Macaca mulatta: one gene and its partners. The protein of the gene in region 1 interacts with the protein of each later gene in a biochemical or structural test. Links are inferred from orthologs where the notes say so. Each region holds a gene or a part of one and is shown in the gene's direction. Other genes may lie near its edges.

Region 1 (6,207 bases):
TTGTGGACCAGTTAAGGATACACCAATCTACAGTCAAGGCAGCGGTGCCTGCTTTCCCAGACGAGGAAACTAAGGACGTGAAGGCAGTGGAACTTGACTAAGGTCACACTGTTGGGAAGCGGGAGAGCTGGGATTTCACCCTAGTCTACAAAAAAGGGGATGTAGGGCACCAGGCAGTACTCCTGCAGATCAGAGAGGCAGTTGTCTCTGCAGCCTCTTTGGGGTGAGGTGGATTTCTTGTGGTGCTGCCAGAGTGGAAGCAGTGTTGGGAAGAGTTTTAAAGTCCAGAACAAATGCACACAGTGGCCTTGTGTATGGGATGGACTGCAGAGTGGGCATTGATGTGGAGAGAGACATTCAGGCTGCAGTATGTGGAGAGGGGCCTCTCCTGCTGGGAAAGGCCTTCTGGAGAGCAGGATGTAACTGGGCAACACTCCAATCTGTGGCTTAACTGCTAGATTGACTTTCCCTCAGATCCCCCCACCCTCTGAACCCAGTTCTAGGACATTTCAGGGTCTGGAGGGCAGTTTCCTAACCTCTGGACTAGGTAAACAATGAAAGCAAGCACTGTGATTAAAGCCAGCACCGCCGGTGACCTGGAGTCAACTACCTCGCCCCACCTGCTGCTACTGGAGCAGGAGCAGGGGAAGCTCTGGCTGCTAAAGAATAAGAAGGGAAACAAGTAATCTACTGTGTTCTTTAGGCCCTGGATCTCCTGATATCCATTGATGGCTTTAGGCATGTGGTTCTGTACCATCCTGGATTTTTCCAGGCACAGGGGACAGGTCAGCAGGAAATAAGGAAGCCAGTCCCTCCACAAGCCAAGAAGACTTCAATTAGAAGGGACCTGGCAGTGCATCTTACTCACATTTCTTCTGGTGTTTGGAGGCCTCCATAGTATCCCCACCACATGGCCTCGCAGCCTCTGAACTTCCCATGATGGGCTCCCCAACACCCCAAGCTACATGGCATTTTTCTGAAAGCTATATTGGAAATGTAGTTGAGAATCAAGTGAACTATGCTTCATAAAAGTATTCTCCCATCCCTTCTAGATTGTCCCCATTAATCACAGGAACATGGTTCAAGCCGTTAACACTCACGATACTGATGATCTTGTACTGCCAAGTGCTGTTCTTTTGCTTTTTATCTCAGCTGAGCGGCCCCTAGATAGTCAAGTCGTAAATGTGTGTGCCCATGAAAACTTCTTATTATCGCTCACTATTGTAGCTAATTCTCAAGTGCAATCAATACCTCCTGTTTCTCAAACGTGCCCACCTTCATAATCCAGCTGCCATTACTCCAACCCAGGCCACTGTCTGCTACTTAGATCACGGCAAGCACTTCCTTTTAGATCTGCTTTTCTCCAGTCCTGTTCCCCTCAACACTATAGCCAGAAAGGTGCAAAATTCACATTGCAAAATTCAAATGTGATCATCTCTCCACTATTGCAGTTCCCCTAGTGACCCTTGGAAGGAAACCCAAAGTCTTTAACACAGTTTACAATTCTTATTGCAAGGATGAAACTTGAAGACATTGTGCTAAGTGAAATAAGCCAGATACAAAGGAGCTATTGTATGATTTCACATATATGAGGTACCCAGAATAGATGAATTCAGAGAGACAGAAAGTAAAACAGAAGTTACCAGTGGCTGTGGGTAGGGGTAAATGGAGAATTCTAGTTTAATGAGTTGAGAGTTTCAGTTTGGGATGATGAAAATTGTCCCATGATGTGGTGATGATAGCACAACAATGTGAATGTACTTAATGCTACTGAGTTGTATGCTTAATAATAATGGTCAAAATGGTATGTCTATTTTAGCACAATGAAAAAATGGAACAGTAAAGTCAATGACTATAATATCATAAAGTGTAAGTAGCATGAGAGAAAATAATTCAGGCTAAGAGGATAGAGACTGCTAGGTAGGACTATTTTAGAATAAGTGATCAAGGTACTTATTTCTCTGAAATTGGAATGTTTAAATAGAAGAGAAAGAGCTAGCTGGCAATGCCCGTAAGGGGTCCAGGCGTGGAGACATCAAGTGAAGAGTCTGAGGCAGGAATGACCTTAATGCATTAATGGCAGCAAGAGGTCTATATGCTTTCATGGATGGGTGTGTGCACGCATGCACGTGTCTGTGTGTGTAGTTGGTGGGCATGAGCATATGTCTGCATTTGTGAGTATCCTTGTTTTCCTGTTGGAAACAAGGAACTCAACATGACTAACCAGGTGAACCTAGTTATGGTAGTTCAGCAAGGAGATTTCCCAAAATGGATGGCAATTGAAAGAGAAATTTTACTGTATTGAAGCACACAGCTGCCGAGCACTGTGCTGGAGGCTCCTAAATTTCTCCTAGTCCCGAGAAGAGTTGTTTATTAATCTGGAGTTGAAGGCCAGGCCCGGGCTATCCTTGTTCACAAGGTTGATTGGGCCCTACATTGCTGAGCCTAGCCTCCTCCCTCAATCTGAGGCATCTGCCAGAGCCCCAGGCTAGAGGGCCAGCGTCCTTGTCATTGAGTCCCTGCTCTGCAGAAACACCAGTACGTCATTTCTGGTGAATAAATCTGGGTTCCCGGATCAAGGGTTTGGGGAGTTGACATGGCCCTGGAGGTACGGAGGAGTCTTTCTAGGGGTGGGGGAAGTGGGATGAAAGGCAGAAATCAGGTTGAGGATGTTTCTTTTTATGCTTCTGCTGGAGCACCTGTGACTTTCCTCAATTATCTGTTCATCTGCAGTGGAAACTATCTTTGTTTCCAAAGGGAGCCTCGAGGACCTAGACCTATGGGGCTGGGCTGCTGAGGATTCTTAGTGGGGTAATAGCTGGAAGAAAGCTCTGAAGAACAAATGAAAGGTTAAGATTGAGAAATGGGAGGGGGATTCAAGGCAAGTTGTCTAATTGCCAGTGGTTTTGACTCACAGAACGGGGGAGTTCCTGCCAGAAAGTAGAGAGGGATTTAGCACTCTGCCAGGTCCAACATAGTAAGAAATTTTCAGAGAAAATGCTTACCCAGGCAAACCTGTCTAAAACACCAAGGGGAAGCAAACTCAAGTTAATTCTGGGCTGGGCTGGTGACTAAGATTGAGGTTGATCTGAGGTTGAGACCTTCCTCATTGGATCACCAACCTGTAGCCTAGGGCCTGCCACTGAGTAAATGATAGTTAACAGGCCCTGGAGAGGAATCAGCTGCCCAGATACAAAGATAGGATTCAGGTGGCAGATGGACTCAAAGGGGATGTGGAGAGAAAGAGGAAGCTCCTACAGACACCTGGGTTTCCACGCATTCTTATTCCCTAAGCTAATGGGCATGAGCGAGGTGTCAATGCACAGTCCCATTTGTTCTCACTGCCATGGAAAGTATGTTTATAGTCTTTCAGCGGCAACACCAGGGGCCTAGGCACAGAAGAACCCCTCCTTAGGATCCCCACTGCTCATCACAGTGCCTACCTTTGTTAAAGTACTAGTCACACAATGTCACAAGGATGTTTACTTTTCCAAATCCCCAACTAGAGTCCAGGGATGGGTCATCTATTTCTATATAGCCTGTACCCAGGTTGTAGAACAGAGGGCATGTTCAATACATATATGTTGATTAACTGAGATAATCTTCCCTGATTTTTCTCACACCAAGGGGAGGACCATGTCCCTGTTTCCATCACTCACTCTCCTTCTCCTGAGTGTGGTGGCAACATCTTACTCAGAAACTGTGACCTGTGAGGATTCCCAAAAGATTTGCCCTGCGGTGATTGCCTGTAACTCCCCAGGCATCAACGGCTTCCCAGGCAAAGATGGGCGTGATGGCACCAAGGGAGAAAAGGGGGAACCAGGTACAGTTTGGGCTGTTCTGTCTCTGCAATTCTTTACCTTCTAGAGAAAACTGCCTGGGGGTATGAGGAGACTGATGTCCTATTTGAGTATATTTTTCTCAACTATACTGTAACTCAAAACAGAGATTCAGCTCTCATTCTCTGGCATCTCAGACTTCCACACAGCAGTTTGTGACTAACAGTTGTCTTGCCTGCCCAGAAAAGCGGCCCACAGGTCAGGCCATCGCATGGGACACAGGATGAATTTTTCTTCTCTGGGTCATAGTTATTGTCATGTCAGACCCCTATTCACTTCAATAGGGATGGCACCAGGTTCAAGAGGCCAAAGTAGAGACCTGGAGCCAGCAAACATAGGTTTTACTGGGGGAATCTATTTACAGGGAGATCCAGCAGCAGTGGGCCGGACAGGAGAACCACAACTATTTGTAAAAAACATGCAGTTAATTTTCACTTTGCACCCTCCCTGCAGCAACCTCCATATGGCAACTCTATTTCTTAAGTTATTGCTCTCAGGTGCATACCATACAGTTATTGAGAGCAGTGCTCAGAAAGGTCAGTCCTGCGTCAAGGTCTCCTTTCTCCTGAGAAGGGACTGGGCATCCAACCCTTGAAGAGAAAGAACATAGATATTAAGTCACATTTCCTTTTTCTTCCAACAGGCCAAGGGCTCAGAGGTTTACAGGGCCCTCCTGGAAAGTTGGGGCCTCCAGGAAATCCAGGGTCTTCTGGGTCACCAGGACCAAAGGGCCAAAAAGGAGACCCTGGAGAGAGTCCAGGTAAGGACTCCAGCAAGGTCCGAGCTGAATGCACCCAGGGTTCTGAGACCTTGAGTACCTGGTGTGCCCCTTCTCCTGTTCCTTCAAAGGAAGATACCCAAATTTGCTTTCTGACCCAGTGCCCTCAGCCCTCTTTTCATTCTTAGAGCCTTAGGGAATTCCTATAAGTGCCTGAGTACAGACTTACAAACTTTTCAAGACAACTCCCTCATCAGGCACTCCCTGTAGGAGCTGAGCCTGGGTTCTCCATCAGTTGAAATAGTTCAATGTGAGGCCCTGGTCCTAGAGGGAAAAAATAGACCATTTAAGTGTGGGCTTATTATGTCTATTTTTGCAAAAGCATGTAACCATGGTATGTCATATTTTACTTCATAAGAAACCAAGCCAAAGCTTAATAGCTTAAAAACATAGCCGTCAATTTAAATCACAAGTCTGTGGGTCAGCCATGTGATTTGTCTGCTGGTTTAAGCTGGGCTCACTCATATATGTCTGTGGTCAGCTGATGGCCAATAGTCTCACTCATGTGTCTGGCTGTTGTTTGAATGTTAGCTGGAGTGATGAGGGTAATTGAACCACGTCTCTCATCATCCAACAGGCTAGCCAGGGCTTCTTCACATAGCAGTGACTACAGGATTCCCAAGAGTAGAAATAAGAAAGGCTTTAGGCTTCTTGAAGACTCAGAGCACATTATCATTTCTGCCAGACTGTATTGGTCAAAACAAGTCACAAGGCCAGCCCAGATTCAACGAGTACTGAAATAGACTCGTGTCTAAATGAGAGGAGCTACACCCTATTGAGGCCATTTTTGCCATCTACTACAACAAGTGGTTTGCTCTTGCCCTCCCCACTTGGATAATGGGCAACTCACAAAAATCTTGGTTTCCTGACTAATAGAACAAACCTGGGAAAAACAAAAACAAAATAAAAGACAACAAAAGCAAAACCTCTCCAAAGACAAAAACCCTGTAATCTTTTTAGTCACTCTTCACCAGGTCATAATAGAGTAATGCCTCAAGAGATTTCTTTTTAGTTTTGATAGAACAATTTGTTTGGAAAGAAATAATCTGTGAAGAACCTGGCCTATGGATTGCTAAGTAATCAGGGAGTATATGTGTGCATGTGATATGTACGTGTACTTTGGGATACAGTAAACAGACAAAGAGTGACGTTTGGGGTTGGATGAAAATAGAGATTTTTCATTCTTTTGACTTTTAAGTATTTTTTATTTTCCTTTGAAGTGTAAACATCAATGTAAAATAAGCTTCTTTTTCAATTTGAAAAAGATACTCTACTCTCGTGTATATGCACAGTTCCGAGGTTCCTTCTCAACAATGCTTCTTTACTTTGTTCTAATTTTCTAGATTGTGAGAGTAGCCTGGCTGCCTCAGAAAGAAAAGCTCTGCAAACAGAAATGGCTCGTATCAAAAAATGTAAGCCTTTTCTCTTACTCTCCAGGCAGCTTGAAATTTGGGAAAAATAGAATGCTACAAATATTTATAGAATGCAAAAAATATTTATTGAATGCATATAATTTTCTGTACCCTGATAGGCATTTCTCATATTCTGACCTCATGGAATTCTCACAACATTTTGGTAGAAATGGGGGCA
Region 2 (6,044 bases), on another chromosome or scaffold:
AAAGATGGCATCCTGCTATGTTGCCCAGGCTGGTCTTGAACTCCTGGCCTCAAGTGATCCTCCCATCTTGGCCTGCCAAACTGTTGGGATTATAGGCATGAGTCACTGTGCCCAGCCTGTTTTTAGTTAATTTCTACAAGTCCTTCCTTCCTCTCTTCTGTCATGCAGCAAGTAGTTTTTAATCCTGTTCTGTGCCAGATGCTGCAGGTGACACTGGAGGATGCAAAGTGAACAAAACAGGCAGTGTCTAATCTCAGGTAGGAAGTGCCAAGCCCACAGGTGCCTGACACAGGAACAGGAGGAAGGGTCAGCCAGAGGCCTGGGATGGTCCTCGGGATCCTCATTGAGGGGACCAGACTAGGCAATACTGAATACTACCTAGAGGAAGGGGTAGAACCCCAACTTCCCAATTCATTCTCCCCCTTCTTTTTTTTCGAGATGGAGTCTTGCTCTATCACCTGGGCTGGTGGCCTGGAGTGGTGTGATCTCGGCTCACTGCAATCTCTGGCTCCCAGGTTTCAAGTGATTCTCCCACCTCAGCCTCCTGAGTACTGGGATTACAGGCACCCACCACCACGCCCAGCTAATTTTTTTTTTTTTTTTAGTGGAGACGAGTTTTCGCCTTGTTGGCCAGGCTGCTCTCGAACTCATGACCTCAAATGATCCGCCTGCCTCGGCCTCCCCAAGTGCTGGGTTTACAGGCGTGAGCCACCGCGCCCGGCCACCATTTCTTTTTCTTTTCTTAACCAAAGACCCTTGCCAAGTCATTCCCCCACTCCACTTTGTTTTCCTTTTCATTTTTTCCTTCCTCCCTTTTCTGAGTCACAACCATTAGCCAGGAAGCACCCCCTCCTCACCCTCTTTCCTGGATCCCCCTCATTCCCTCCTTCCACAGTCCACTCCCGTGTTCCCAGGTCCAGGGCTTATTTGCCCAGAGTTTGGAAAACCCCCAGATCTCCTTTCTACAGCTTGGGGGCAGGGTACTGGTGCCAGTCACGTGCCTCTGGCTTCAGAAGACTCCAGACTGGGGTGGGGTGGGGGGGTCCTGCCCATCTCCCTAGCACCTTATCTTCGCTACCATCTGTGTCTTTTTTCCCTCCCCAAACGGAACCCCCTGCCCTCTCGCCTATAGCCGTTTAATTGCAAAAGCCAGGCCGTTTGTGGGAGACCACAGACAGCGACCTCCTTCATTTACCGGTTGAGACGAGAGTAAAGGGGCTGCTGCAATCTGGGTAATAACCCTATCCCCACCCCAGGAGTCACAGTCACATCGTTAAGTCTTCCTCCCCTCTTGTCCCAGGCCAGCTTTAAAAACGTTAACAGCATTTCTGCTGGGTAGCACCTGGCCAGGGTCACCCCCTCTGTCTGCTCAGGAACGTCTGTCACTTCAGAGAGGTTAAGTGACTTGCCCCAGTCACACAGCAGCAGTCTGATAGGCTGCCAGGGCCCTAGGGGCAGAATGAGGAGAGGGCTGGCATTCTTCCCACTGGCCCGCGTGGCTGTAGCACCGGGGTGCAGCGTAGCCCCAGGGCCCCAACCCATGAGCTCTCTCCTATCCTGGGCGGGGGTAGGGGAGCAGCAGTGGGGTGCTGGTTCCCAAATGCAAGATAAGAACTGGCTAGGAAAGCCTTGCCCAGCCCCTCCACCTAGAGGGAACGGGAGGAAGAGAAGCTGAGGCGGGGTCCCGATCCCGCGTGGAAACACCTGCGCTCCCGCGGGTTCTTTAAACGCCCAGATGGGGAACGACGCGCACGGGCAAGGGCGGTCTTAGGTTCAGGTCTGGTCACATGACCTGGCCTGAGGGGCTCGCGGCCCCCACCTCACCAGTGGGCGTCCCCCACAACGCGTGGTCGACCATCATTGGTCAGTGGTGAGGCCAATAGAAATCGGCCATCTGGGAACCCAGCGTTCCGAGGCGCAGCCTAACCTAGTGAACCGACGAAGGTCCAATGGAAAGAGACGGCCGTGGGCGCAGGCCAATGATAAAGTGTCAGGGGCGGGCCCAAGGGCTGGGTCAGGTTGGTTTGAGAGGCGGGTGGGTATAAAAATGCAAGGCGGGCGGCGGCGTCCGTCCGTACTGCAGAGCCGCCGCCGGAGGGTCGTCTTAAAGGGCCCGCGCGCCGCCGCCCCCTCGGCCCGCCATGCTGCTATCCGTGCCGCTGCTGCTCGGCCTCCTCGGCTTGGCCGCCGCCGAGCCCGCCGTCTACTTCAAGGAGCAGTTTCTGGACGGAGGTAACGCCTGGTCCCACCTCGAGGCCGTCCCGACGACGCGGCCGGCCCCCCATCCCGGATCTGCGTCGTCGCCCGTAATTACCGCTTAGAGGGCCAACACAGTGGTCCCCGGCGACTGGAGCTGCGGGCGATCCCTCTTTTGCGTCTCTGGGGAGCGCGGAAGGCGTAGCGGCCTCCCGCGGTGGGAGTTAGGGTTCGCCCGAGGATCGCTGAAGGCACCCGACGTGTCAACTAGAGGTTGGGGTGGGGAGAGTCGGGGATCTCCTTCCCTGTCCCCAGCAGCTTGTGGTTCTCCGCAGATGCTTGGTGGGGGGGGGGATTAGCAGAGCCGCGCTGACCTAACTCTCTAACCCTCCACTTAGACGGGTGGACTTCCCGCTGGATCGAATCCAAACACAAGTCAGATTTTGGCAAATTCGTCCTCAGTTCCGGCAAGTTCTACGGTGACGAGGAGAAAGATAAAGGTAAGAGCTTAGGAGTGGGTGCTCAGATCCGCGAGGACTTCCTGGCAGAAGTCCTTGTCCGCACACACACAGCCGGGACAGTCCCCTAGGAGCAGGGCAGGTGGAGGAAGTGGGGGAGTCGTCTGTATCGTCTAAATCGAGGGTCCTCGCGGGTCAGGACCCAACGGTGACCACACTACCGTCCCGTCTCAGGTTTGCAGACAAGCCAGGATGCACGCTTTTATGCTCTGTCGGCCAGTTTCGAGCCTTTCAGCAACAAAGGCCAGACGCTGGTGGTGCAGTTCACGGTGAAACATGAGCAGAACATCGACTGTGGGGGCGGTTATGTGAAGCTGTTTCCTAATAGTTTGGACCAGACGGACATGCACGGAGACTCAGAATACAACATCATGTTTGGTGAGGGGCTGCTTCCTGGTGCTGACCTCTGTCCCATTAGTTGGAGGGAGACCCAGACCCCATTGACTTTCTTAATAGTTATGATTGTCTTTGGAAGGGGCGCTAAAAGAATTAAGTCACAGCAACAATTTATTGCGTTATGATCGCAGATCTAGGCTGTTAATTAATTTGTGTCATTGTATATAGTTATTTCCCAATCTTACAAATGAGGATGTTGAGTTCTAGAGCACTGATTTTTTTTTTTTAATTTAAACTTAAGGCTTCACCCACAACCCATTCAGCACAGAATCAGGGTCTGAGTTTCTCTTTTCAGCCTTGACAGACCCGAGTTTAGGAACCAGGTCTTCCTTTTGTAAAGAGGGGTGAGGAACTCGAAATGGTGGGTAGTCTCTGACTTTTAACTGGATCTGCTTCACACCTAGGTCCTGATATCTGTGGCCCCGGCACCAAGAAGGTTCACGTCATCTTCAACTACAAGGGCAAAAACGTGCTGATCAACAAGGACATCCGTTGCAAGGTGTGCCTGGGGGTGGTGGCAAATGGGTGTCATGGGGAGGTTCAGAGGTCAGCCTGATTGAGGGGGGGCTGCTCACCTTCTTCCTTCTTCAGGATGATGAGTTTACACACCTGTACACACTGATTGTGCGGCCAGACAACACTTATGAGGTGAAGATTGACAACAGCCAGGTGGAGTCGGGCTCCTTGGAAGACGATTGGGACTTCCTGCCACCCAAGAAGATAAAGGATCCTGATGCTTCAAAACCTGAAGACTGGGATGAGCGGGCCAAGATCGATGATCCCACAGACTCCAAGCCTGAGGTTGGTGTTTGGGTGGGGGCTCTGCTCTCCACATTGGAGGGTGTGAGGACATTTGGGCCAACTCTGACCTCTTCATCTACCCCCCAGGACTGGGACAAGCCCGAGCATATCCCTGACCCCGATGCTAAGAAACCCGAGGACTGGGATGAAGAGATGGATGGAGAGTGGGAACCCCCAGTGATTCAGAACCCTGAGTACAAGGTGAGTTTGGGGCTCTGAGCAGGGCTGGGGCTCACAGTGGGGAGTGCACCAACCTTACTCACCCTCTAGTTCCCTTCTTCCTTCTGCAGGGTGAGTGGAAGCCCCGGCAGATCGACAACCCAGATTACAAGGGCACTTGGATCCACCCAGAAATTGACAATCCTGAGTACTCTCCTGATCCCAGTATCTATGCCTATGATAACTTTGGTGTGCTGGGCCTGGACCTCTGGCAGGTGAGACTTGGAGGAAAAAGGAGGATCCCTGGGGTACCTCAAGTGCATAAGATTACCCAAGGGGAAAGTGACAGGATACGATCGCACCCCAGGCGGGTCTGACTCAAAAATGGTACTTTTTGTAAACAGTACTTCCTGGTCTGTCCCTGTGGAGTCCTCACAGCAATGCTTTTGAGGCTGTACTTCTTGTGAACTAAGTACTTCCCCAAGTACTTTTATGCAAATCAACTTCTTTAAATACCCTGAAAGAACTAGAAGGTGGTCAGGTAACCCACTTAGTTAGCTGGGGCTGGGCACAGTGGCTCACCCTTATAATCACAGTACTTTGGGAGACTGAGGCAGGAGGATTGCTTGAGGCCAAGAATTAGACAACCTTGCTTGGCAACGTAGTGAGGAGACCCTATCTCTACAAATTTTTTTTTTTTTTTTTTTTTTTTTTTTGAGACGGAGTCTCACTCTGTCCCCCTTGCTGGAGTGCAGTGGCCGGATCTCAGCTCACTGCAAGCCCCGCCTCCCGGGTTCAGGCCATTCTCCTGCCTCAGCCTCCCAAGTAGCTGGGACTACAGGCGCCCGCCACCTCGCCCGGCTAGTTTTTTTGTATTTTTTAGTAGAGACGGGGTTTCACTGTGTTAGCCAGGATGGTCTCGATCTCCTGACCTCGTGATCCACCCGTCTCGGCCTCCCAAAGTGCTGGGATTACAGGCTTGAGCCACCGCGCCCGGCCTTTTTTTTTTTTTTTTTTGAGACGCAGTTTCACTCTTGTTGCTGAGGCTCGAGTGCAATGGCACGATCTCAGCTCACTGCAACCTTCGCCTGCTGGGTTCAAGCGATTCTCCTGCCTCAGCCTCCCCAGTAACTGGGATTACAGGCATGTGCCACTATGGATGCCAGGCTAATTTGTTTGTTTTTTGTTTTTGAGACCGAGTCTTGCTCTGTCGCCCAGGCTGGAGTGCAGTGGTGCGATCTCAGCTCACTGCAAGCTCCGCCTCCCAGGTTTACGGCATTCTCCTGTCTCAGCCTCCCAAGTAGCTGGGACTACAGGCGCCTGCCACCACGCCTGGCTGATTTTTTTTTTTTTTTTTTTTTTTTTTTTTTTTTTGAGACGGAGTCTGGCTCTGTTGCCCGGGCTGGAGTGCAGTGGCCGGATCTCAGCTCACTGCAAGCTCCGCCCCACGGGTTCCCGCCATTCTCCTGACTCAGCCTCCCAAGTAGCTGGGACTACAGGCGCCGCCAGCACGCCCGGCTAGTTTTTTTGTATTTTTTTTTTTAGTAGAGACGGGGTTTCACCGTGTTCGCCAGGATGGTCTCGATCTCCTAACCTCGTGATCCGCCCGTCTCGGCCTCCCAAAGTGCTGGGATTACAGGCTTGAGCCACCGTGCCCGGCCGATTTTTTTTTTTTTTTTTTTTTTTTTTTAGTAGAGACGTGGTTTCACCATGTTAGCCAGGATGGTCTCGATCTCCTGACCTCATAATCCACCAGCCTCAGCCTCCCAAAGTGCTGGGATTACAGGCATGAACCACCGTACCCAGCCTTTTTTTTTTTTTTTTTTTTTTTTTTTGGGTAGAGACAGGGCTTCACCATGTTGCCAAGATTGGTCTCGAACTCCTGGCCTCAGGTGATCTGCCCGCCTCGGCCTCCCAAAATGCTGGGATTACACGGGTTGAGCCACTGTGCCTAGCCTCTACAAAAAACTTTAA
Region 3 (6,157 bases), on another chromosome or scaffold:
GAGGGGTATGATAATGCTGGAGAAAGTGAGAATTGCTGGTTTCCTTGAGCGAGTGAGAGCAAACTGAATCTAGGGCACAAGTGGAGAGATCACCCTTAGACTTAGACTGTGGACAGTATAAATACACTAACAAGAGAGAAGGAAGTTACATGGGCCAAATACAAGAATTTTGGTGGAGCGATGGTAGAAAATTGTAGATCTATTTGATTGTTTCTATTTTCTCAATAAAGAAAGAAACAAAGCTATTCACAGAGATTAGGAATGTTGGAGAAGGTGTCAGAAATAAATGTCAAAAATATGAAATAGTCATTTAGGAGAATGGGAGAATAAATGGATTAGACAAAAAATAGTGGAAATGTCAGGCAGCAGTACAATGGTCCATTTGAAATTCTTTGTTACTAAAGTAAGGCTAGTCATTGTATCTCTGTGTCTTTTCCAGTCACATTCAGTTTCACAGGTATGGGAGCAAAATAATGGAGAATTGATTCTAACCAGGATTGTCGATTTGTCTAACGCCTATAATAAAGCAAGAGAAGGGTGAGGGAGCTAATGGTGGGTGCAAGATGATGATTATAATGACAGAGTATGGAATTTAACCTGGTAGTGATGAAAGTGAAGACACGAAAGAGGTGAGAGGCTGAGAGAGAGAGCGGTAGGATCAATGGGTTGCAGGCACTGAGACAGACAAAGATTGCTGGATTCAGTTTAATGGTAAAAGAGAAGAGTAGGATTGGTGGTTAAAGAGTGGGATCACTGAAATCATTGAGGGTTGCAGTGACAGTGACAAGTTTCAGAGCATGCACATGAGCATTAGTGTCAGAGGAGAATAGAGGACAAGACCACAGGCAGAGAAGAGGTCAAGGCACTTTAAGACCAGGGATTTGAAAATGCTATTGCTGTGAATATTGAAATAACCAGGGACTGTGGCAGAACTAATAGTGGAGAAGGTGGCCATGAGCCAGGAGCTAAAACCTTCAAGGAATGAGGGGAGAAAGTAGACACTAGGAGATGGATACCAGCAGAAGTGGTAAGGAGTGGCACCTTCTGATAGCATGTGATGGAAAACTGAGAAACTGAGCCTTCTCCTCTTCTCTTTTCCTAAGCCTACTACAATCTGACTGCTTCTCCCATTACTCTGTCGAGAATAACTTGAAATGATGATAGCAAATCCTTAAAAGAATGTCACTGGATGTATTAAAAAGTGTGATAAGTGATATGATCAAAGTAGACATTTCTTCCACTAGAATTTTGGGAGAAAGCCTAATGGAAACCAGTGCGCACAGAAAGACAAATCCTGTATGATACCAGTCATATGTGGACTCTAAAAAAGCTCATCTCATAGAAGTATAGAGTAGAGTACTGGTTACCAGAGGCTGGGGAAGGGAGAGACAATGGGAGATAGAGACAGATTGGTTAAAGGGCACAGGATCACAGATAGATAGGAGGAATAAATTCATCCTTGAATACTTAACCGTCACCCTAAATCTGTCACTCCTACATCCATATTTCATATTTCAATAAGTAGCACCACCATCCATTTCTAATCCTGGGGCTAACTCTTGATTGCTTTCTTCTCACCACCAACCTTAAGAAAGGAAGTAACCAATATCCAGTACACAAGCAACTGTTCATTTCATCTCCAAAATCTTTGTTAATTATCCACTTTATCCACCCAGTCAGGGCCGCCATCAAACCTCACTTGGATGTCAGCAAAAGCTCCCTGACTGGTCTCCCCTCTCCATTATTGCCCTATTCTAATCTACCTTCCATACTATACACACATTTACATTTTAAAAATGTATATCCGATCGTCCCTCCCTTTTTAAAAATCTTACGATGGCCTGACATCTCAATTCACGATAAGGAAATTGGTTCTTCACATTCTCTGTACACTGTACACATGGCCTGCAATTGCGCTTCAACACAGAGACCAGGCATTTCATTAGCTGACCTTCCCACACACATTCTTGCAAAGAGGAATAGTCAAGCAGGCTGTTTGGAGGCGAGCTGCCGTCATCCACCACCTGTGTCTGTAAGCGCAGAGCCTCGCACGCGGGATCCATCGGAAGCCCAAGCATTGTCAAGCTCTGCTGCTGCACCTGGGTCCGCAACGTGGGCTCTGCCAGAGAAACCCGTTAGAAACAATGCAAATGGGGAGTAAACATGGCCTCGCCCATGAAGAGGAAGCTGTGGTGAAAAGCATTTTGTCCCGGAACCCCGCAGCCCTCCCCATACCCTGGGCGCGGAGCACAAGGATTGGTCCCTCCTCTTTGTACTGCTCTTTTCCTCTTATTTCAGCTTTCTTCGAGAACAAATCTGGTTTGTAGATGTGCTTGGGGAGAATGGGGGCCTCTTCTCCAAGAAGCCCGGAGCCTGTTGGGCCGCCGGCGCCCCGTCTCCCCTTCTGCTGCGGAGGATCCCTGCTGGCGGTTGTGGTGCTGCTCGCGCTGCCGGTGGCCTGGGGTGAGACGCGGGCGGGCGTGGGGAGGCGCCTGGGCGGACGAGGCACCCGGGGCCCCGCAGGGAACTCGCGTGCCTCGCTGGGCTGCGCTCCTCTGGACGCCCGGGTCCGAAGGCAGTGCGATGGGTGGGCTGAGCGCGCAAACCGGCAGGGCGGCGGGTCTGGGATTCTTCTGCTCACTGGAGACCCTCGCTGCTTCTGGGTAAGCGTGGAGTCCCCATGTGCATGGGGCTTAAGTCGTGACCAGCGCAGAGGAAGGCGCAGATGCTGAGCGGGTGTCGCATGAAATTCCTTGCATTTGTGTATTCACAGTCTAGGCTGGCTATAGCGGAGCGTGGCGTTGATCCTAGCGAAAGGGGACTTGGGGATCCGACAAACCTGAGTTCTGGTCCTAGAAACTTAACTATGAGGCAGCTTAGCACACCTAAGTCTGTTTGCTCTTCTGTAAAATGGGGACATTGATATCTGTGCATTGTGGAGGTGCTGCCTCAGTGGCATAAAGCCTGTCGAGTGTCTAACACAGGGCCTGTCCCCGAGTCCATTTCTATCCCCTCAACCATTGCCTCTGCACTTTGCTCCCAATGGTGTTTAGACAAGCAGTCCTAGGGATGCAGGTATTACCTGACAACTGCCCCACATAGAACTATCCTCGTTCCCCACCCCAAGCCACCACCGCTATCATCACCCTTGCACTTGATTGATAGCATATTTTAAGACAGATGCATGCCAGGCACTTGGGGATTAGAGGAGTAAGGGCAGCCCCAGAACATGCAGTGTAACCGCTGCAGGTAGAAGGAACAGTAGATATGTTTACAGTTCGCATTTTAGGGATGTGTTTAGTGCAAAATAAACCCTATTATTATAACTACTATGGAAATTTTGAGGCCACATCTCTTCCTTTTTCTTAACTTCACATAGGTAAACATCTTCAATTAGAACCCTTCTATTATTATTTTTGGGCTCCCCAGAAGTCTTCTTGTTTGCCTAGACTCACTGGCAACATCTCAATTGAAGTGACAGTCTTGGTTGTTCCTGTCCAGCCTCTTCTGACAACTCCAGGTTCGCCCTTCTCTGCTACTAGACATTTTGCATTCTTTATTTGAGTGTTCCTTCTTCTCTAAAAGAGTAAAAAATAAAATAAATTAAAACCAAGTTCCCGCAAGAGTTGTTATTACTATTTGATCTCCTTAGGCACCAGAAAGTAACCTGTCAGGTGAAGAGATATGATAAAACTTACAATTTTATTTTTAGAAGAGAAGCATGCCCAGTAAGTTAAGCAATCTGTTGTCAGTGCTTAAGAATTTGTGTCATCCTTGTGAGTACTGACCCTCTTCTTACTAGAATGTTGTTTTAGTTTGCCTATGTTGATTAAGTTACTGTTATAAACAATCCCAGACACTATTAATTGCAAAAATAAAAAAAATTACTGAGGTTATCACAATAACCTCCAAATGTGAAACAGCCTAAACTATACTACCTGGAAATTTTCTTGCTGACATAATTTAAATTTTAAAATGCTGATGGATGTTTCCAGTGTGCACGGTCCTTTAGAATTTTAAAGAAGTATAAGAGCTATGCACCCAAGGTATATGCATGTAGAAGTAGGTGGTGGAGTTTTATGAAATCTACTTATTAGGAAGCCAGTGTTCGGCTTTTTCCAGCTTCTGCTACTTACCAGCTGGGGTCTTGGACCCAGTAAGTTAAGTCACATCACTGAGTGTCCACATGTATAAAATGAGCATAACTGACATCCTGATCTCTGAAAGAGGTATTTTGAAAATCAGATGGTGTAATGCATGTGACAGTGTTTTGTAATCTGAAAACCCCCATGCATATCTGAAAAATCATGACTAAGAAGTCATGCAAGACTGCAGGATCACTGAAAAGGGAGAAGTCTTAGCTCCTACGATCAGGAAAGTGTGAGTGAAAGGTGTATGGATTTACTAGCACTTAAAGAGTGAATCCAGAAACAGTTTGCATAGGACAGTTTATGGGGATATTTATTTCTATACAAAACATAGCAGAGGAACTAGGATTGTTTTGTTATTATGATTAACTCACAGTACCCGTGAAGTGGTATAGGGCTATTTGAAAGAGGACTTAGATTAGCTGCAAATAGATATTGCAAATGTAGGACAACCACTGAAAAAAGTGAAAAAAAGAATGATAATTATATGTGAATAAGGAAGAGAAAATTGCATCATATAAAATGCTCAGTTAAAACAATAAAGAGGGCCGGGAACGGTGGTTCATGCCTGTAATCCCAGCACTTTGGGAGGTTGAGGTGGGTGGACCATCTGAGGTCAGGAGTTCGAGACCAGCCTGGCCAACATAGTGAAACCCTGTCTCTACAAAAATACAAAAATTACCGAGGCATGATGGCGGGTGCCTGTAGTCCCAGCTACTCGGGAGGCTGAGGCATGAGGCTTGAGAATCGCTTGAACCTGGGAGGCAGGGGTTGCAGTGAGCGGAGATCATGCCATTGCACTCCAGCCTGGGTGACAGAGCGCAACTCCATATCAAAAGAGAAAGAACGGAGGAAAGAAGGAAGGAAGGAAGGAAGGAAGGAAGGAAGGAAGGAAGGAAGGAAGGAAGGAAGGAAGGAAGGAGAAAGAAAGGAGGGAGGGAGGGAAGGAGGAAGGAAGGAAACCAATAAAACAATAAAGGGCAGGAAAAGAATGGAAGACAAAAAGTAGAAACACAGAACAAGAGAACAAAGGCAACAAATAGAAACCAGTAACAAACACTAAACCAACCATATCAACAATAATTTTGAGTGCCAATGATCTAAATGCACCATTTGAAACAGAGATCATCAGAGTGGATCAAGAAACAAGACCCAACAATATATTGTGTACAACAAGACCATTTTAAATATAGACGACATATATTAAAAGTAAATGGATAAAGATATACCATGCTAATGCTAGTTATAGAAAGCAGGAGTAACTGTGTTAATTTCAAACACAGCAGACTTCCGACCAAGAAAAATTATTAGGGATAAAGAGGGGCATCATATAATGATAAAGGGGCCACTTATCCAAGAAGACATAATAATATCCCATATGTATGCACCTGACAGAGAGACAAAATATGTGAGGCAAAACCCATAGAACTGCAAGGAGAAATAGATGGATTTGCTATCATAGTTGGAGACTTCTATGATATCTTTCTGATATCAGAAAAGGTGCTGAAGTCTTCTTATCAGAAATGGGCAGATTCAGCAGGCAGAAAATCCATAAGGACATACTTGAACTCAACAGCACCATCAATCCACTTGGATATAATTGACATGTATAGGTGACTTCATCCAACAGCAGCAGAACACATATTGTCCGGCTCACATTCATGGGGATAGACCACATTCTGAGCCATAAAATAGTACGCAAATTAAGCTTTACCAGGCAGTGTTTAGCATAGGGTGAACTCTGGCGCCCTCATCTGGTCCTCATGTAGGATCTGGTTTGGTTATCCCTGCTAGGTAAAGGTGCAAGATAGAAGGGAAGTTCCAACTTGCTTTCTGTGCTCTGTGATGTATTTTGGTTTACATATGCTCAGATGAGTGGATGTATGATTTATATTATCTATTTTAATCTAAAATAACCTTCACATTTGGACAGGTAACATCAAAAGTGCCCTACACAGAAATACTGGGTGAAGATCCCTGTAATAAAACCAACTCCAGAAAACAAGAAA

What was found.
Region 2: the proteins of MBL2 (region 1) and CALR form a complex in vitro, tested with the Homo sapiens proteins (2 studies listed by BioGRID and IntAct). The link is inferred for Macaca mulatta from reciprocal best matches to the Homo sapiens genes MBL2 and CALR.
Region 3: the proteins of MBL2 (region 1) and CR1 interact in a biophysical measurement, tested with the Homo sapiens proteins (2 studies listed by IntAct). The link is inferred for Macaca mulatta from reciprocal best matches to the Homo sapiens genes MBL2 and CR1.

What each region holds. Positions count from the first base shown.
Region 1 is NC_133414.1:96,985,293-96,991,499, forward strand, and holds the start of MBL2 (mannose-binding protein C), read left to right. Parts: upstream 1-2,413; 5' UTR 2,414-2,596; coding exon 2,597-2,608; intron 2,609-3,568; exon of another isoform or gene 3,569-3,627; coding exon 3,628-3,823; intron 3,824-4,482; coding exon 4,483-4,599; intron 4,600-5,960; coding exon 5,961-6,029; intron 6,030-6,207. UniProt on the Homo sapiens protein: Calcium-dependent lectin involved in innate immune defense. Binds mannose, fucose and N-acetylglucosamine on different microorganisms and activates the lectin complement pathway.
Region 2 is NC_133424.1:13,502,733-13,508,776, forward strand, and holds the start of CALR (calreticulin precursor), read left to right. Parts: upstream 1-2,110; 5' UTR 2,111-2,141; coding exon 2,142-2,232; intron 2,233-2,594; coding exon 2,595-2,696; intron 2,697-2,888; coding exon 2,889-3,092; intron 3,093-3,514; coding exon 3,515-3,609; intron 3,610-3,701; coding exon 3,702-3,911; intron 3,912-3,998; coding exon 3,999-4,112; intron 4,113-4,201; coding exon 4,202-4,345; exon of another isoform or gene 4,346-4,378; intron 4,379-6,044. UniProt on the Homo sapiens protein: Calcium-binding chaperone that promotes folding, oligomeric assembly and quality control in the endoplasmic reticulum (ER) via the calreticulin/calnexin cycle.
Region 3 is NC_133406.1:65,244,984-65,251,140, forward strand, and holds the start of CR1 (complement receptor type 1), read left to right. Parts: upstream 1-2,223; 5' UTR 2,224-2,327; coding exon 2,328-2,463; intron 2,464-6,157.